Anolis sagrei: one gene and its partner. The protein of the gene in region 1 interacts with the protein of each later gene in a pairwise test. Links are inferred from orthologs where the notes say so. Each region holds a gene or a part of one and is shown on either strand. Other genes may lie near its edges.

Region 1 (7,656 bases):
ATAAAAATCATAGAAGCTATAAAAACTATAAAAATTATAACAATATTAGTAATATTACATGTAAAATAAAATATATAATTATAAAATTGTATTATTATTATTAGTATTATATTGTATTACATTATATTATAAATATTATATGTATAAACAATACAATATATTATATTATTAGCATAGCACAATATCATTATATATATTACTATACTGTACTATACCATTATATTGTAATATTATTAGTAATATTACATGTGATATAACATATATAATTATAATATTGTATTATTATTAGTAATACATTATAATATTATAAATATTATATGTATATACAATATATTATAATACCATATTGTAATATTATTAGTAATAATATTAGTAATATAAAATATATATTAATATTGTATTACTATTAGATTCGTATTGCATTACATTATAATATTATAAATATTTTATGTATATATACTAGCTGTCCCCTGCCACGCGTTGCTGTGGCCCACATGGGGATTCTGTTTGGGAGGTTTGGCCCAATTCTATTGTTGGTGGGGTTCAGAATGATCTGTGATTGTGATTGTAGGTGAACTATAAATCCCAGCAACTACAACTCCCAAATGTCAAGATTCTATTTTCCCCCAAACTCCACCAGTGCTCAAATTTGGGCATATTGAGTATTCATGTAGAGTTTGGTCCAGATCCATCACTGTCTGAGTCCACAGTGCTCTCTGGATGTAGGTGAACTACAACTCCAAAACCAAAGGACACTGCCCACCAAACCCTTCCAGTATTTTCTGTTGGTCATGGGAGAACTGTGTGCCAAGTTTGGTTCAATTCCATCGCTGGTGGGGTTCAGAATGCTCTTTGATTGTAGGTGAACTATAAATCCTAGCAACTACAACTCCCAAAAGACAAAATCATTTTTGAGTGAAGAACATACATTGGGTTGTTAGGTGTCTTGTGTCCAAATTTGGTGTCAATTCGTCCAGTGGTTTTTGAGTTCTGTTAATCCCACAAACGAACATTACATTTTTATTTATATAGATAACATTGTATTCTTAGTATAGCACAGGAGACTACACAAACACATGATACATATACATACAATATATTATATCATTAGCATAGCAAAATACTATTATATATATTAATATATTGTACTATACCACTATAATTAGTAATATTACATGTTTTATATATATATATATATATATATATATATATATATATATATATATATTGTATTAGCAGTAGTCCTATATTGTATTAGTAAAGGTTTTCCTCTGACATGCAGTCCAGTCGTGTCCGACTCTGGGAGTTGGTGCTCATCTCCATTTCTAAGCCGAAGAGCTGCCGTTGTCTGTAGACGCCTCCAAGGTCAGGTGGCCGGCATGACTGCCTGGAGTTGCATTATCTTATCTTATATTATATTATATTATTAGTATATTAGTATTAGTATAGTATTATTAGTATTATTAGTATTAGTATAGCACAGGAGACTACACAAACACATGATATATACACATACAATATATTATATTATTAGAATAGCACAATATTATCATATATATTACTATATTGTACTATACCATTATAATTAGTAATATTACATGTAATATTATATATATATATATATATATATATAATATTGTATTAGCAGTAGTCGTATACTGTATTAGTAAAGGTTTTCCCCTGACATGCAGTCCAGTCGTGTCCGACTCTGGGGTGTGGTGCTCATCTCCATTTCTAAGCCGAAGAGCCGGCGTTGTCCGTAGACACCTCCAAGGTCAGGTGGCCTGCATGACTGCCTGGAGTTGCATTACCTTATATTATATTATATTATTAGTATATTAGTATTAGTATAGTATTAGTATAGTATTATTAGTATTAGTATAGCACAGGAGACTACACAAACACATGATATATATACATACAATATATTATATCATTAGAATAGCACAATATTATTATATATATTGCTATATTGTACTATACCATTATAATTAGCAATATTACATGTAATATGTGTGTGTGTGTGTGTGTGCGTTTGCGAATGATTCCTATGCGTGGAGGCCCAACGCTGAACGAGAAGCATATATATACTCAGTTCTTGTGGGTTTTTTCGGGCTATATGGCCATGTTCTAGAGGCATTTCTCCTGGAGAAATGTTCTAGAGGAGAAATGCCTCTAGAACATGGCCATATAGCCCGAAAAAACCCACAAGAACTGAGTGATTCCGGCCATGAAAGCCTTCGACAATACAGCATATATATATATTACTATATTGATAATTAGTAATATTACATGTTATATATATATATATATATATATATACATATACAGTATATATATATATAATATTGTATTAGCAGTAGTCATATACTGTATTAGTAAAGGTTTTCCCCTGACATGCAGCCCAGTCGTGTCTGACTCTGGGGTGTGGTGCTCATCTCCATTTCTAAGCCGAAGAGCTGGCGTTGTCCATAGACACCTCCAAGGTCAGGTGGCCGGCATGACTGCCTGGAGTTGCATTACCTTATATTATATTATTAGTATATTATTATTAGTATAGTATTAGTATAGTATTATTAGTATTAGTATAGCACAGGAGACTACACAAACACATGATATATATATATACAATATTTTATATTCTGAGTATAGCACAGGAGACTGTATAAAGGGTAATGTGCGTCTGTGAATGATTCCTATGTGTGGAGGGAGGCCCAACCGTGAATGAGAAGCAGGCCTTTGCTCACCTCCACGCTCTGCTCGTCCATGGCTGGCCGGCCTCCCTCTAGGCCCGCTCGGCCTCTCTCTCTCTTCTCTTCTCTTCCTCCTCCTCCTCCTCCTCCTCCTCCTCCGCCGCCGGCCTCTCTGAGGGAGGCAAACACACGCCTGGGTCAGCCCATGGAGTCTCCCGCGTTCACGGCCCCCCAGGCCCCCGCAGGCCCCCCGCCAAGCCGCCCCCCATCTCCCCTCAGAGGCGCTCCTCCGGGCCGGAGGGAGGGAGGAAGGAAAGAAAACAGACCCAGCCTGACACTCACTGCGCATGCGCTGCCGCCACTGCCTCCCCGCGCGCCGCCTCTGCTGCATTCGCCGGCCGCCAGGAAACCGCAGCACGCATGCGCGCTAGGGCAACCCGGGAAAGGACCGCACTGCGCATGCGGGGGAGCATATGATTGGAGAACCCAGGCAGGCTGGGCTAATCCCACCACTTGCTTGCTCCATCCATGTTCAACATCTACACAAATGACCAGCCACTGCCAGAAGGGACAGAGAGTTTCATCTATGCTGATGATCGTGCCATCACCACTCAAGCAGGGAGCTTTGAGATGGTTGAACAGAAGCTCTCCGAAGCTCTAGGTGCTCTTACTGCCTATTACAGGGAAAACCAGCTGATCCCTAATCCATCTAAAACACAGACATGTGCCTTTCATCTCAAGAACAGACAAGCATCCTGAGCTCTGTGGATTATTACCTGGGAAGGAATCCCACTGGAGCATTGCAGCACACCCAAATATCTGGGAGTCACTCTGGACCGTTCTCTGACCTACAAGAAGCTTACTTACTTACTTACTTAGGCGATCCCTCATTGGACGAGTAAGATGGTCTTCCATTATGGATTTCCTTGTGGGTCCGTATGTGGCTGTGGAGCCCTATTCTTGCTCTGTATCTTCTTCCGCAGTGAGGGCATTGGTTTCCAGGTGGAAGGCGGTCTCGGTCGGGGTTGGCTTGACGCGCCTTCCTCCTGGCACGTTTCTCTCTTTCACCCTCCACTCGTGCCTCCTCAAATTCTGCAGCACTGCTGGTCACAGCTGTCCTCCAGCTGGAGCGCTCAAGGGCCAGGGCTTCCTAGTTCTCAGTGTCTATGCCAGAGTTTTTAAGGTTGGCTTTGAGCCCATCTTTCAATCTCTTTTCCTGCCCACCAACATTCCGTTTTCCGTTCTTAAGTTCGGAGTAGAGCAACTGTTTTGGGAGACGGTGGTCAGGCATCCGGACAACGTGGCTGGCCCAGCGGAGTTGATGTTGCAACTACAAGAAGCACTGCCTGAACATCAAGCAAAATGTGGGTACTAGAAACAATATCATATGAAAGCTGATTGGCACAACCTGGGGATCACAACCAGACACAGTGAAGACATCTGCCCTTGCGCTATGCTACTCTGCTGCTGAGTATGCATGCCCAGTGTGGAACACATCTCACCACGCTAAAACAGTGGATGTGGCTCTGAATGAGACATGCTGCATTATCACGGGGTGTCTGCACCCTACACCACTGGAGAAATTACACTGTCTAGCAGGTATTGCACCACCTGACATCCGCCGGGAAGTAGCAGCCAATAGTGGAAGGACTAAGGCAGAGACATCTCCAGCTCATCCCCTGTTTGGGTATCAGCCATCACGCCAACGACTTAAATCTAGACAAAGTTTTCTAAGATCTACAGAGACACTCGCTGGAATGCCTCAGCAAGCAAGAGTCCAACAGTGGCAGGCCCAAATCCAGCACCTCAACCAATGGCTGTTACAAAATGAGAGACTCCCCCCTGGGCACACAGAAGACTGGGCGACTTGGAAGGCGCTGAACAGACTGCGCTCTGGCACCACGAGATGCAGAGCCAACCTTCAGAAATGGGGCCACAAAGTGGAATCCTCGACATGCGAGTGCGGAGAGGAGCAAACCACTGACCACCTGCTGCAATGCACCCTGAGCCCTGCCACATGCACCAGGGAGGACCTTCTTGCAGCAACATCAGAGGCACTCCAAGTAGACAGATATTGGTCAAAGGACAATTAATCAACTACCAAATTCACAAGTTGTGTATCTTTCTGTTTGTTTACTTTGTTCTGTTAGAAATGTAATATAATGGACTGGTTGCTCTGACACAACAATAAAATAAACCACTTGCTATGTTCAGACCATACAGAGAAATCCACAAGCATGCAGGCAATTTCAACAGAAAGGAGACAGCACCCTTTTATTATTATTTTTAAGTCTCTTCTGCTGTGTTTTCCAGTGTTTTTATAAGTGGTCACTTGTTGGCCTGAGAGGTGTCTTGTGTCTAAATTTAGTGTCAATTCGTCCAGTGGTTTTTGAGAATCTCACAAACTAACATTACTGGGTTGTTGTGGGGTTTTTTGGGCTATATGGCCATGGTCTACAGCAGTGCTTCTCAACCTGGGGTCCCCAGACGTTTTTGGCCTACAACTCCCAGAAATCCTAACAGCTGGTAAACTGGCTAGGATTTCTGGGAGTTGTAGGCCAGAAACACACACGAAAGGAAGCAGTAACCTGTAGATGCAGGACCCAATACCAACATGACAGGCAGCGACAAGTACCCAATGCACGGACGAAACCAACACCTTGCCTTCTGCAAAGATTCCCCATTTCAGAGCCTACTTTTATCTTACACATCATCATCAGAAGATGAGCTGACCTCCGCCCCATCATAATCTCTTACAGCTGTTCTTGACTCCACACGTGAATTCCTACTCCCATCCCTCCAACTTCTCCAACTTCTGTCAAGACTTAGATTCCCCCACACAAGACTCAAATGTATTCCCCGATTGCCAGTCCTCGTTACCAGAGAACCCTACAAATGTATCACTAGACGTTGGCTCTGCACATACAGTTTGTATCTCTTTTACCTTAGTCCAGTCCAACGTGTCATCCCCATCTTCATCGCTCCCTGACCCATCACTCCCAGAGAAACCTACAAATGATTCTTCATCTATGGGAGCAGTAAATATATCCTCTTCCTCTGTCGCTCCTCATCCGATTCTTGCTCTCAGGTAACCCTCTTTGTTCCCCTATTCCCATCCATTGTATCGTCTTCCTCTCCCTCACTCATTGACCCTTCATCCCCGGAAAACCCTTCGAATGAGTCTTCATCGGTAGGTGCCATAAGTATATCCCGGATCCTTTTCCTTTGTTGTTCCTCATCTGACTCCTGCTCACGAGTACCCCTTTCTCCCCTTCTAACACCCATACTACTGCTTGCAACAAATGTCAGCATGCTAGAAGAAGCAAGGACCACCAGCACTGAAGTGATGCTCCTCCGCTATCAACTCCGCTGGACCGACCACCGTCTCCCAAAGTAGTTGCTCTACTCCGAACTCAAGAACGGAAAACGGAATGTTGGTGGGCAGGAAAAGAGATTGAAAGATGGGCTCAAAGACAACCTTAAAAACTCTGGCATAGACACTGAGAACTGGGAAGCCCTGGCCCTTGAGCGCTCCAGTTGGAGGTCAGCTGTGACCAGCAGTGCTGTAGAATTTGAAGAGGCAGAATGGAGGGTGAAAGTGAGAAACGTGCCAAGAGGAAGGTGCGTCAAGCCAACCCCGACCAGGACTGCTTTCCACATGGAAACCGATGCCCTCACTGTGGGAGAACATGCAGGTCAAGAATAGGGCTTCACAGTCACCTACGGAACCACCGCAAGTACACCGATCTTGGAAGACAATCCTACTCGGACAATGAGGGATCACCTAAGTAAGTAAGTAAGGTTTCATTATTATTATTAGTAGTAGCTGTCCCCTGCCAGGCGTTGCTGTGGCCCAGTCTGGTGATCTGGAAAATCAAGTAATGAGAAAGTGTTGGTTTCTAATATATCTAATTTCTTTATGGTTGTGGGTAAACAGTATTTCTTGCTGTTTCTTTATCAATGTTGATGTGGAGATTGTCTGGTTTGCCTACTCTGTAACATGCAACATACAGGGTTAGTCAAAATGCATAGGCCAATAAGCCATTCAATTGAATGGCTTATTGGCCTATGCATTTTGACTAACCCTGTATAATTGTCCTTCTTTACGGAGCCCTTTAAAATCTATGATACTATAACTGTGTGTGTGTGAATCATATATATCTATCTATATCTATGGCTGGATGGCTCTTTGTCAGGAGGGTTTTGATTTGCCCTGGTGAAGGGAGTTGGACTGGATGGCCTTGAGTATTTTCTGTTGGTTATGGGGGTTCTGTGTGGGGAGTTTGCCTCAATTCTGTCATTGGTGGGGTTCAGAATGCTCTTTGATTGTAGGTGAACTATAAATCCCAGTAGCTTCAACTCCCAAATGTCAAAGTCTATTTCCCCCTAACTCCATCAGTGTTCATATTTCTGCATATGGAATATTTGTGCCAAGTTTGGTCCAGATCCAACATTATTTGAGTCCACAGTGCTCTCTGGACGTAGGTGAACTACAACTCGCAAACTCAAGGTCAATGCCCACCAAACCCTTCTAGTGTTTTCTATTTGTCATGGGAATCCTTTGTGCCACGTTTGGTTCAATGCCATAATTAGTGGAGTTCAGAATGCTCTTTGATTGTAGACGAACTATAAATCCCAGCAACTACAACTCCCAAATGACAAAATAAAAAAAAATGAGTGAAGAACATACATTGGGTTGTTAGGTGTATGCTGTCCAAATTTGGTGTAAATTTTCCCAGCGGTTTTTGAGTTCTGTGAATACCACAAACGAACATTACATTTTTATTTATATAGATGATGATGATGATGATGATGATGATTATCTATATATATAAAAATGGAAAGGGTGTTCAACGGGACAGCAAAACGCGAAAACCCCCCGACGAAAACTCACCAAATTTGCAGTGCATATACCTCAACCCACAAGGTATGCACAACACTCATCAAAATTCCAAACAACATT
Region 2 (7,781 bases), on another chromosome or scaffold:
ACATACACACACACACGCACATATCGGCTCCTGGTGGCACAGGATTAAACCGCTGAGCTGCTGAACTTGTTGATCAAAAGGTCAGCGATTCAAATCTGGAGAGCAGGGGTGAGCTCCCCACTGCTACGCCCAGCTTCTGCCCACCTAGCAGTTTCAAAAACATGCAAATGTAAGTAGATCAATAGGTACCGCCTTGGAAGGTAACAGTGCTGCAAGCAGTCATACCGGCCACATGACCTTGGAGGTGTCTATGGACAACGCTGGCTCTTTGGCTTAGAAATGGAGATGAACACCAACCCTCAGAGTCAGACACGACTAAACTTAATGTCAGGGGAAACCTTTACCGATATATATATATATATATATATATATATATCTCCATTTCAACTCCCAGTCCTCCTTAATAAATCCATGAGTGTATGTGGTTCTCCTTTCAGTGATATCACCTTGTAGCCTATCATCCAATAAATATCCATGCCATTTGAAATGAATCGGTTCCCCATCCGTTTGGCCTTGCCCACCTTGACGTGCTTCCGGACCACCTGAGTGCGCTCCAGGCGCTGCTCCTCGGGGATGCCGATCTCCTCCCAGATGTCATGCAGGTGCCTCAAGGCCTGGCTCAGGCAGGCCACCGACTCATCCGCCAGGACCTCGCTGCAGGGAAGCAGAAGCAAAGTTAGGAGGGAGCCCCAAATGCCATCTAGTCCAGGCTTGGGCAAGCTTTGGCCCTCCAGGTGTTTTGGACTCCAACTCCCATCATTCCTAACAGCCTCAGGCCCTTTCCTTTTCCCCCTCAGCCGCTTAAGGAAAGGGCGCAGAAGCCACACAACAACATCCCAACCTTTTCCACTCTTGGGAGAAAGTGGGGAGAGCTGGTGGAAATAGGATATAATTGGCATCTTGGGAAGGAATGTAATAGGACATGGGCATGTCATTCAAATATGGGACCGTCCCTTAACATCCTATATGACTGGCAACCCAACTTCCAAGGTCTGGCCAAAGGGCTGCAGTGATGAGGGCTTCCCTCCACGACTCAAGGCATTTGTGGGGCTCCTGCATCCAAAAGAAATCCCATATTATGAGGGGTCACAGCCCTATCTCTGAAAGCAGCGGACCCAACGCCCCATGGAAAAGGCCCTTTGTGCAGTTCCAGTGAAGCCCAGCATATGGCACTGTTTTCATAGAATTATAGAATCAAAGAGTTGGAAGAGACCTCATGGGCCATCCAGTCCAACCCCTTGCCAAGAAGCAGGAATGTTGCATTCAAATCACCACTGACAGATGGCCACCCAGCCTCTGTTTAAAAGCTTCCAAAGAAGGAGCCTCCACCACACTCCGGAGCAGAGAGTTCCACTGCTGAACGGCTCTCACAGTCAGGAAGTTCTTCCTCGTGTTCAGATTGTTCCGCATCCTAGTCTCCAGGGAAGCAAAAAACAAGCTTGCTCCCTCCTCCCTGTGGCTTCCTCTCACATATTTATACATGGCTATCATATCTCAGCCTTCTCTTCTTCAGGCTAAACATGCCATTATATGAATTTGTAAAAAAAAATAAGAATAAAACAAGGCATTGCAATAATAAACAGTAATATTATGTAATAAAATTTGGGAAAAATAACTGTTCTTGATTTGAAAGTGTTCTTTCCCGTTCAATAGTGCGGCACTTACTCTGGCAGTAGTTATTCTACTCCAAAAACTTCATTTTTGCGGCTGCCACAAACTAGGTTGGGTTTGGTTAAAGCTCAGTGATGAGATATTCATTGAAAAACTAGACCAGGGGCCCTCAAACGTTTTAAACAGAGGGCCAGGTCACAGTCCCTCAAACTGTTGGAGGGCCGGATTATAATTTGAAAAAAACATGAACGAATTCCTATGCACACTGCACGTATCTTATTTTTAGTGCAAAAAACACTTAAAAACAATACAATAATTAAAATGAACAATTAAAAAATACAGGGGCCTGAGGCTGTTAGGAATGATGGGAGTCCAAAACACCTGAAGGGCCAAAGTTTGCCTGGACTACATCGAGGGAAGTCATGGTGCCTCTCTATTCTGCATTATTATTATTATTGTATTGTCAAAGGCTTTCATGGCTGGAATCACTAGGTTCTTGTGGGTTTTTACGGGCCATAGAGCCATGTGCTAGAGGCATTTCTCCTGACGTTTCGCCTGCATCTATGGCAAGCATCCTCAGAGGTTGTGAGGTCTGTTGGAATTAGGACAATGGGTTTATATATCTCTGGAATGACTGGGGTGGGGCACATTATTATTATTGCAATGCAACTATTTGGTCTGCTCCTGACATGAAAAATAAATAAATTATTATTATTATTCTATTCTGCATTATTATTATAATAATAATTATTATTCTATATTGCATTTTTATTATTATTCTGCATTATTATGCCCATACCTGCCATAAGTAATCGAATCCCCCAATCGGAAGGGACCCCCAAAGGTCATCTAGTCCAACCCCTTTCTGCCAAACAGGATGACACAATCCAATCCCTCCAGATAGACGGCCCTGCAGCCCCGTAGTAGTATAAGTTTTATGGAAGCCGTAGTCAGAGAATTCTCAAATTGGAAGGGAGCCCCCCAAAGGTCATTTAGGCTGACCCCCTTCTTTCTGCCACGCAGAGTCACCAGCAAAGCCCTCCCAGCAGATGGCCACCCATCCTCTGCTTGAAGAACTACAGAAAAGGAGACTCCACTGGACTCCCAGAGTTGAAAGGGACTCCTGAAGGACATCCAGTGCAGCTCTCTTCTTCTTGCCAGATAGGAGGACACAATACAATCACTCCCGACAGATGGCCACCCGGCCTCTGCTTGAAAGAGGCCCAGGAAAACACGCCCCCTCCCCTCCTATTTTCCCTACCTTTTCCGCATGGCTCCCGGCCTTCTGCCCAGCTCCGGGACCTGCATCCTCCTCCTCCTCTCGCTGGGTCAAGAAGCAACGGCGACGGAGGTGAAAACGACAGCGACCGTTTTGTGCTGGGCTCCGCCTTAGATTCAAATACTCCGCGCCGCTTCCTGATTGGCTCCGCTTCCGATGACGCGCCACGTAGCCACGCCCCCCGCCGAGAGGAAGGCCCCGCCGTCGCTTTCTGATTGGCTCCATCAAGCCACGCGCCCTACCGAAGGAAGAACACGCCCTCCAGCGCTCCTTCGGACCAATCAGAAGTCAGATGCCGGGGGGTGTGGCTCTAGGACATCCTTGAACTTCTCAGTTGAATCCAGAGAAGCCTCCCAGGAGCCCAACGCCTCATCCTTATTATAGGAGGAATTATAAATAAATTATATTATATATTATTGTTATACATATACATATACATATATATATATATATAATTACACTAATATATAACATAATTTATTTATAATGTAATTTATAAATTATTATGTATAATTTATATATATAATTTATATGTATAATTACAATAATATATAACATTATTTATAATTCCTATAATTTATATATCTAAATTATATATATATATATATAATTATATTATATATAATTTATATATTACATTATAAACAAATTGTTATATATTAGTGTAATTATAATTATATATATATAAAATTACAATAAAATAAACAATTTATTTATAATGTAATATATAAATTATTATATATAATATTTTATTTATTATTTACATCACTTTTTCCCACCCATATCAGCCCGCAGGCGACTCAGGGCGGTCTACATATCGGCACAATTCGATGCCATCAATACAATACAAAAGCAAAAACAATTAAGTGCATTTAGACAAAAAAGACAGTGCAATAACAATTTAAAAAGAGCTATATCCTCTCATTCCAATCCTCATCCGTTTCGTTGTCTTGGCCGTTCCTGAGTCATTCTCCATCTCAAGCTTGACTATCTATTCCGGGGTTCCGAATGCCTCCTCGAAGAACCAGGTTTTCACTCTCTTACGAAAGGTCAGGAGGGAAGGGGCTGATCTAATATCCCTAGGCAAGGAGTTCCACAGCCGAGGGGCCACCACAGAGAAGGCCCTGTCTCTCGTTCCCGCCAAGCGTTGCTTGCGAAGCAGACGGGATTGAGAGCAGGGCCTCCTCAGATGATTTTAACTTCCTGGAGGGTTCGTAGGAAGAGATGCGTTCAGATAGGTAGGCTGGGCCAGAACCGTTTAGGGCTTTATAGGCTAAAGCCAGCACTTTGAAATATATACAATTATAGTAAACATTGTGATGATGTCATGTGTTACAGTTGTACCAAAAGAGGACAAAAGCGATCTATCCTTTTGTTTTAATTATAACCTTACATCATTAACACCTTTGCTTTGTAGGGTTATGTAATTAATTACAAAACAGGTAAAGGTTCCCCACTGACATTAAGTCTAGTCGTGTCCAACTCTCGAGGGTGGTCTCATCTACATTTCTAAGCCAGTGCCGGCATTAGACACCTTCTAGGTCATGTGGCCTGCATGACTGCATGGAGCACCATTACCTTCCCGCTGGATAGATACCTATTGATATACTCATGTTTTCAAACTGCTAGGTTGGCAGAAGCTGGGGCTAACAGTGGGAGCTCACCCTGCTCCCTGGATTCAAACTACCGACCTTTTGGTCAGCAAGTGCAGCAGCTCAACAGTTTAACCCATTGCACCACCAGGTTATGTATAACTGGTCAATTTCACATTCTGTTATAGAAGGCATGGGCAAACTTTGGCCCTCCAGGTGTTTTGGACTTTAACTCCAACAATGCCATTGGTCCTCCAGGTGTTTGAAATCCAAAACACCTGGAGGGCCAAAGTTTGCCCATGCCTCCTTTATAGCCTTATGCCTAGCAGAGATCGTCAGGCATTTTGTGTAATACATTAAACAACATTTAATTTCAAATATGTTTTTATGGGTTTTAAGTTGTTTAAAAAATATCAGTGATATTAATTTAGTTCTGTTTTAATGTTTGTATATTTGTATATTTTTAAAATTGCATGGAAATGCTTTCAATGGAAGCCGTTTTCAGAGTAAACATATTAAGTTAACATAATAATAATAGCAGCCATTTATTTATTTATTTATTTATTTATTTATTTATTTATTTATTTATTTGTTGTGTCAGAGCAACCAGTCCATTATATTACATTTCTAACAGAACAAAGCAAACAAACAGAAAAATACAAAATGTGTGAGTTTGGTAGTTGGTTAAATGTCCTTTGACCAGTATCTGGCCACTTGGAGTGCCTCCGGTGTTGCTGCAAGAAGGTCCTCCATTGTGCATGTGGCTGGGCTCATGTTGCATTGCAGCAGGTGGTCAGTGGTTTGCTCTTCTCCACACTCACATGTCGAGGATTCCACTTTGTGGCCCCATTTCTGAAGGTTGGCTCTGCATCTCGTGGTGCCAGAGCGCAGTCTGTTCAACGCCTTCCAGGTCGCCCAGTCTTCTGTGTGCCCAGGAGGGAGTTTCTCATTTGGTATCAGCCATTGGTTGAGGTGCTGGGTTTGAGCCTGCCACTTTTGGACTCTCGCTTGCTGAGGTGTTCCAGCAAGTGTCTCTGTAGATCTTAGAAAACTATGTCTAGATTTAAGTCGTTGACGTGCTGGCTGATACCCAAACAGGGGATGAGCTGGATATGTCTCTGCCTTGGTCCTTTCACTATTGGCTGCCACTTCCCGGCGGATGTCAGGTGGTGCAATACCGGCTAAGCAGTGTAATCTCTCCAGTGGTGTAGGGCGCAGACACCCCGTGATAATGCGGCATGTCTCATTAAGAGCCACATCCACGGTTTTAGTGTGGTGAGATGTGTTCCACATTGGGCATGCATACTCAGCAGCAGAGTAGCACAGCACAAGGGCAGATGTCTTCACTGTGTCTGGTTGTGATCCCCAGGTTGTGCCAGTCAGCTTTCGTATGATATTGTTTCTGGCACCCACTCCGCTGGCTGTTGGAGCTGATGAACAACTGCACTGCATCCTGTCAGATCCCCAAAATCTGGAGGAAAGCAAGAGTCATCGCCATCTTGAAGCCAGGCAAAGACCGTAATGACCCAAAAAGCTACAGACCAATCTCCCTGTTGTGCCACCTCTACAAAGTTCTGGAGAGACTTATTTTGCATAGAATTATGGAAAAAATAGACCCATGTCTGATTCCACCTCAAGCTGGCTTCAGGAAAGGCAAAAGTTGCACATCGCAAGGGCTGAACCTGACTCAGCACATAGACCTGTCAGCAGCCTATGATACTGTGAACCACTACCTCCTCATGAGAAAAATGTATAATATCACAAAGGACAACTACCTCACCTGCCTCATAGGAAACCTGCTACAAAACAGGAGCTTTTTTGTTGAGTTCCAGGGCCAGAGAAGCAGATGGCGGAAACAGAAGAACGGCCTGCCTCAGGGGAGTGTGCTTGCTTCATCCATGTTCAACATCTACACAAATGACCAGCCACTGCCGGAAGGGACAGAGAGTTTCATCTATGCTGATGATCATGCCCTTACCGCTCAAGCAGGGAGCTTTGAGATGGTTGAACAGAAGCTTTCCGAAGCTCTAGGTGCTCTTACTGCCTATTACAGGGAAAACCAGCTGATCCCTAATCCATCCAAAACAGACATGTGCCTTTCATCTCAAGAGCAGAGAAGCATCCCGAGCTCTGAAGATCACCTGGGAAGGAATCCCATTGGAGCATTGCAGCGCACCCAAATACCTGGGAGTCACTCTGGACCGTGCTCTTACCTACAAGAAGCACTGCCTGAACATCAAGCAGCTGTTTGATGTATGTTTATGAATTCAATAAATAAATAAATATGGGGCCTCGGTAGCACAGCAGGTTAAACCGCTAGCTGCAGAAAAACTTGCTGACCGGAAGGCTAGCAGCTCGAAGCCACGGGTCGGGGTGAGCTCCTGCTGTTAGCCTTAGCTCCTGCCAACCTAGCAGTTCAAAAACATGTAATGTGAGTAGATCAATAGGTACTGCCTCAGCGAGAAGGCAAAAGGCACCCTGCAGCCATGCCAGTAAACACGACTAGGAGGGTCTACATACAACAGACTCCTCAGCATGGATAAATGGAACAAGAGCACCTCCACATGACCAGAGTTGAGCATCGCGTCCAGATGCCGGAGATGGAAACCTTTGCCTTTGTTTATATCCAATCCAATAGGCCTTTATTGGCATATATAACAAGACATTATAAAATAGGAGTATAAATTATAGAAAATGAAACTTCACATTTACTACATCACATTTGAAACTTGCACATCTGCGTGTAGCCTTTGTTTATATATTGTATGTCATTGTTCACTGTATAAAAAGCATTGAATGTTTGCCTACATATGTGTATACTGTAATCCGCTCCGAGTTCCCTTGGGGAGATAGAGTGGAATATAAATAAAGTGTATTATTACTATTATTATTATTATTATTATTATTATTATTATTATATCGGCTGCCCAAAGCAAGGAGAAGCGGCAGAGCAGAGGAAAGGCAGGGTCTGCATTCAGTAAATAAAAACTTGGAGAGAGAGAGAGAGAGAGAGAGAGATGTGCTGGAGGAGTTTTATGTTTATGAATTCAATAAATAGATACAAATTGTCCAGTCATGCCTTGCCCTCCATTGTGGCCTCTAGCAATCGGACGCTGTTGGTGATGGCTGTGGTCAGGAACACAAACCGGAGCCCTAGGAGGAGAAGGAGGAGAATGTAACAGAATTAACTTTCTTGAACACTTTCTATAACATAGCAGTAGAAAGTCAACAGCAGTTTTCCATTCAATTGTTGGTTCCTTAAAAGCCTCAGATCTCCATTGATAACTCAAGGCTGAATT

The links.
Region 2: the proteins of TRIM37 (region 1) and PRC1 interact in binary tests that used the Homo sapiens proteins (3 or more experiments, as listed by UniProt). The link is inferred for Anolis sagrei from reciprocal best matches to the Homo sapiens genes TRIM37 and PRC1.

What each region holds. Positions count from the first base shown.
Region 1 is NC_090031.1:22,626,590-22,634,245, forward strand, and holds the start of TRIM37 (E3 ubiquitin-protein ligase TRIM37), read right to left. Parts: upstream 3,014-7,656; 5' UTR 2,769-3,013; coding exon 2,748-2,768; intron 1-2,747. UniProt on the Homo sapiens protein: E3 ubiquitin-protein ligase required to prevent centriole reduplication. Probably acts by ubiquitinating positive regulators of centriole reduplication.
Region 2 is NC_090029.1:22,722,491-22,730,271, forward strand, and holds the start of PRC1 (protein regulator of cytokinesis 1), read right to left. Parts: upstream 3,023-7,781; 5' UTR 2,920-3,022; coding exon 2,873-2,919; intron 655-2,872; coding exon 522-654; intron 1-521. Other genes in the region: VPS33B (vacuolar protein sorting-associated protein 33B), read right to left, coding at 7,556-7,635. UniProt on the Homo sapiens protein: Key regulator of cytokinesis that cross-links antiparrallel microtubules at an average distance of 35 nM. Essential for controlling the spatiotemporal formation of the midzone and successful cytokinesis.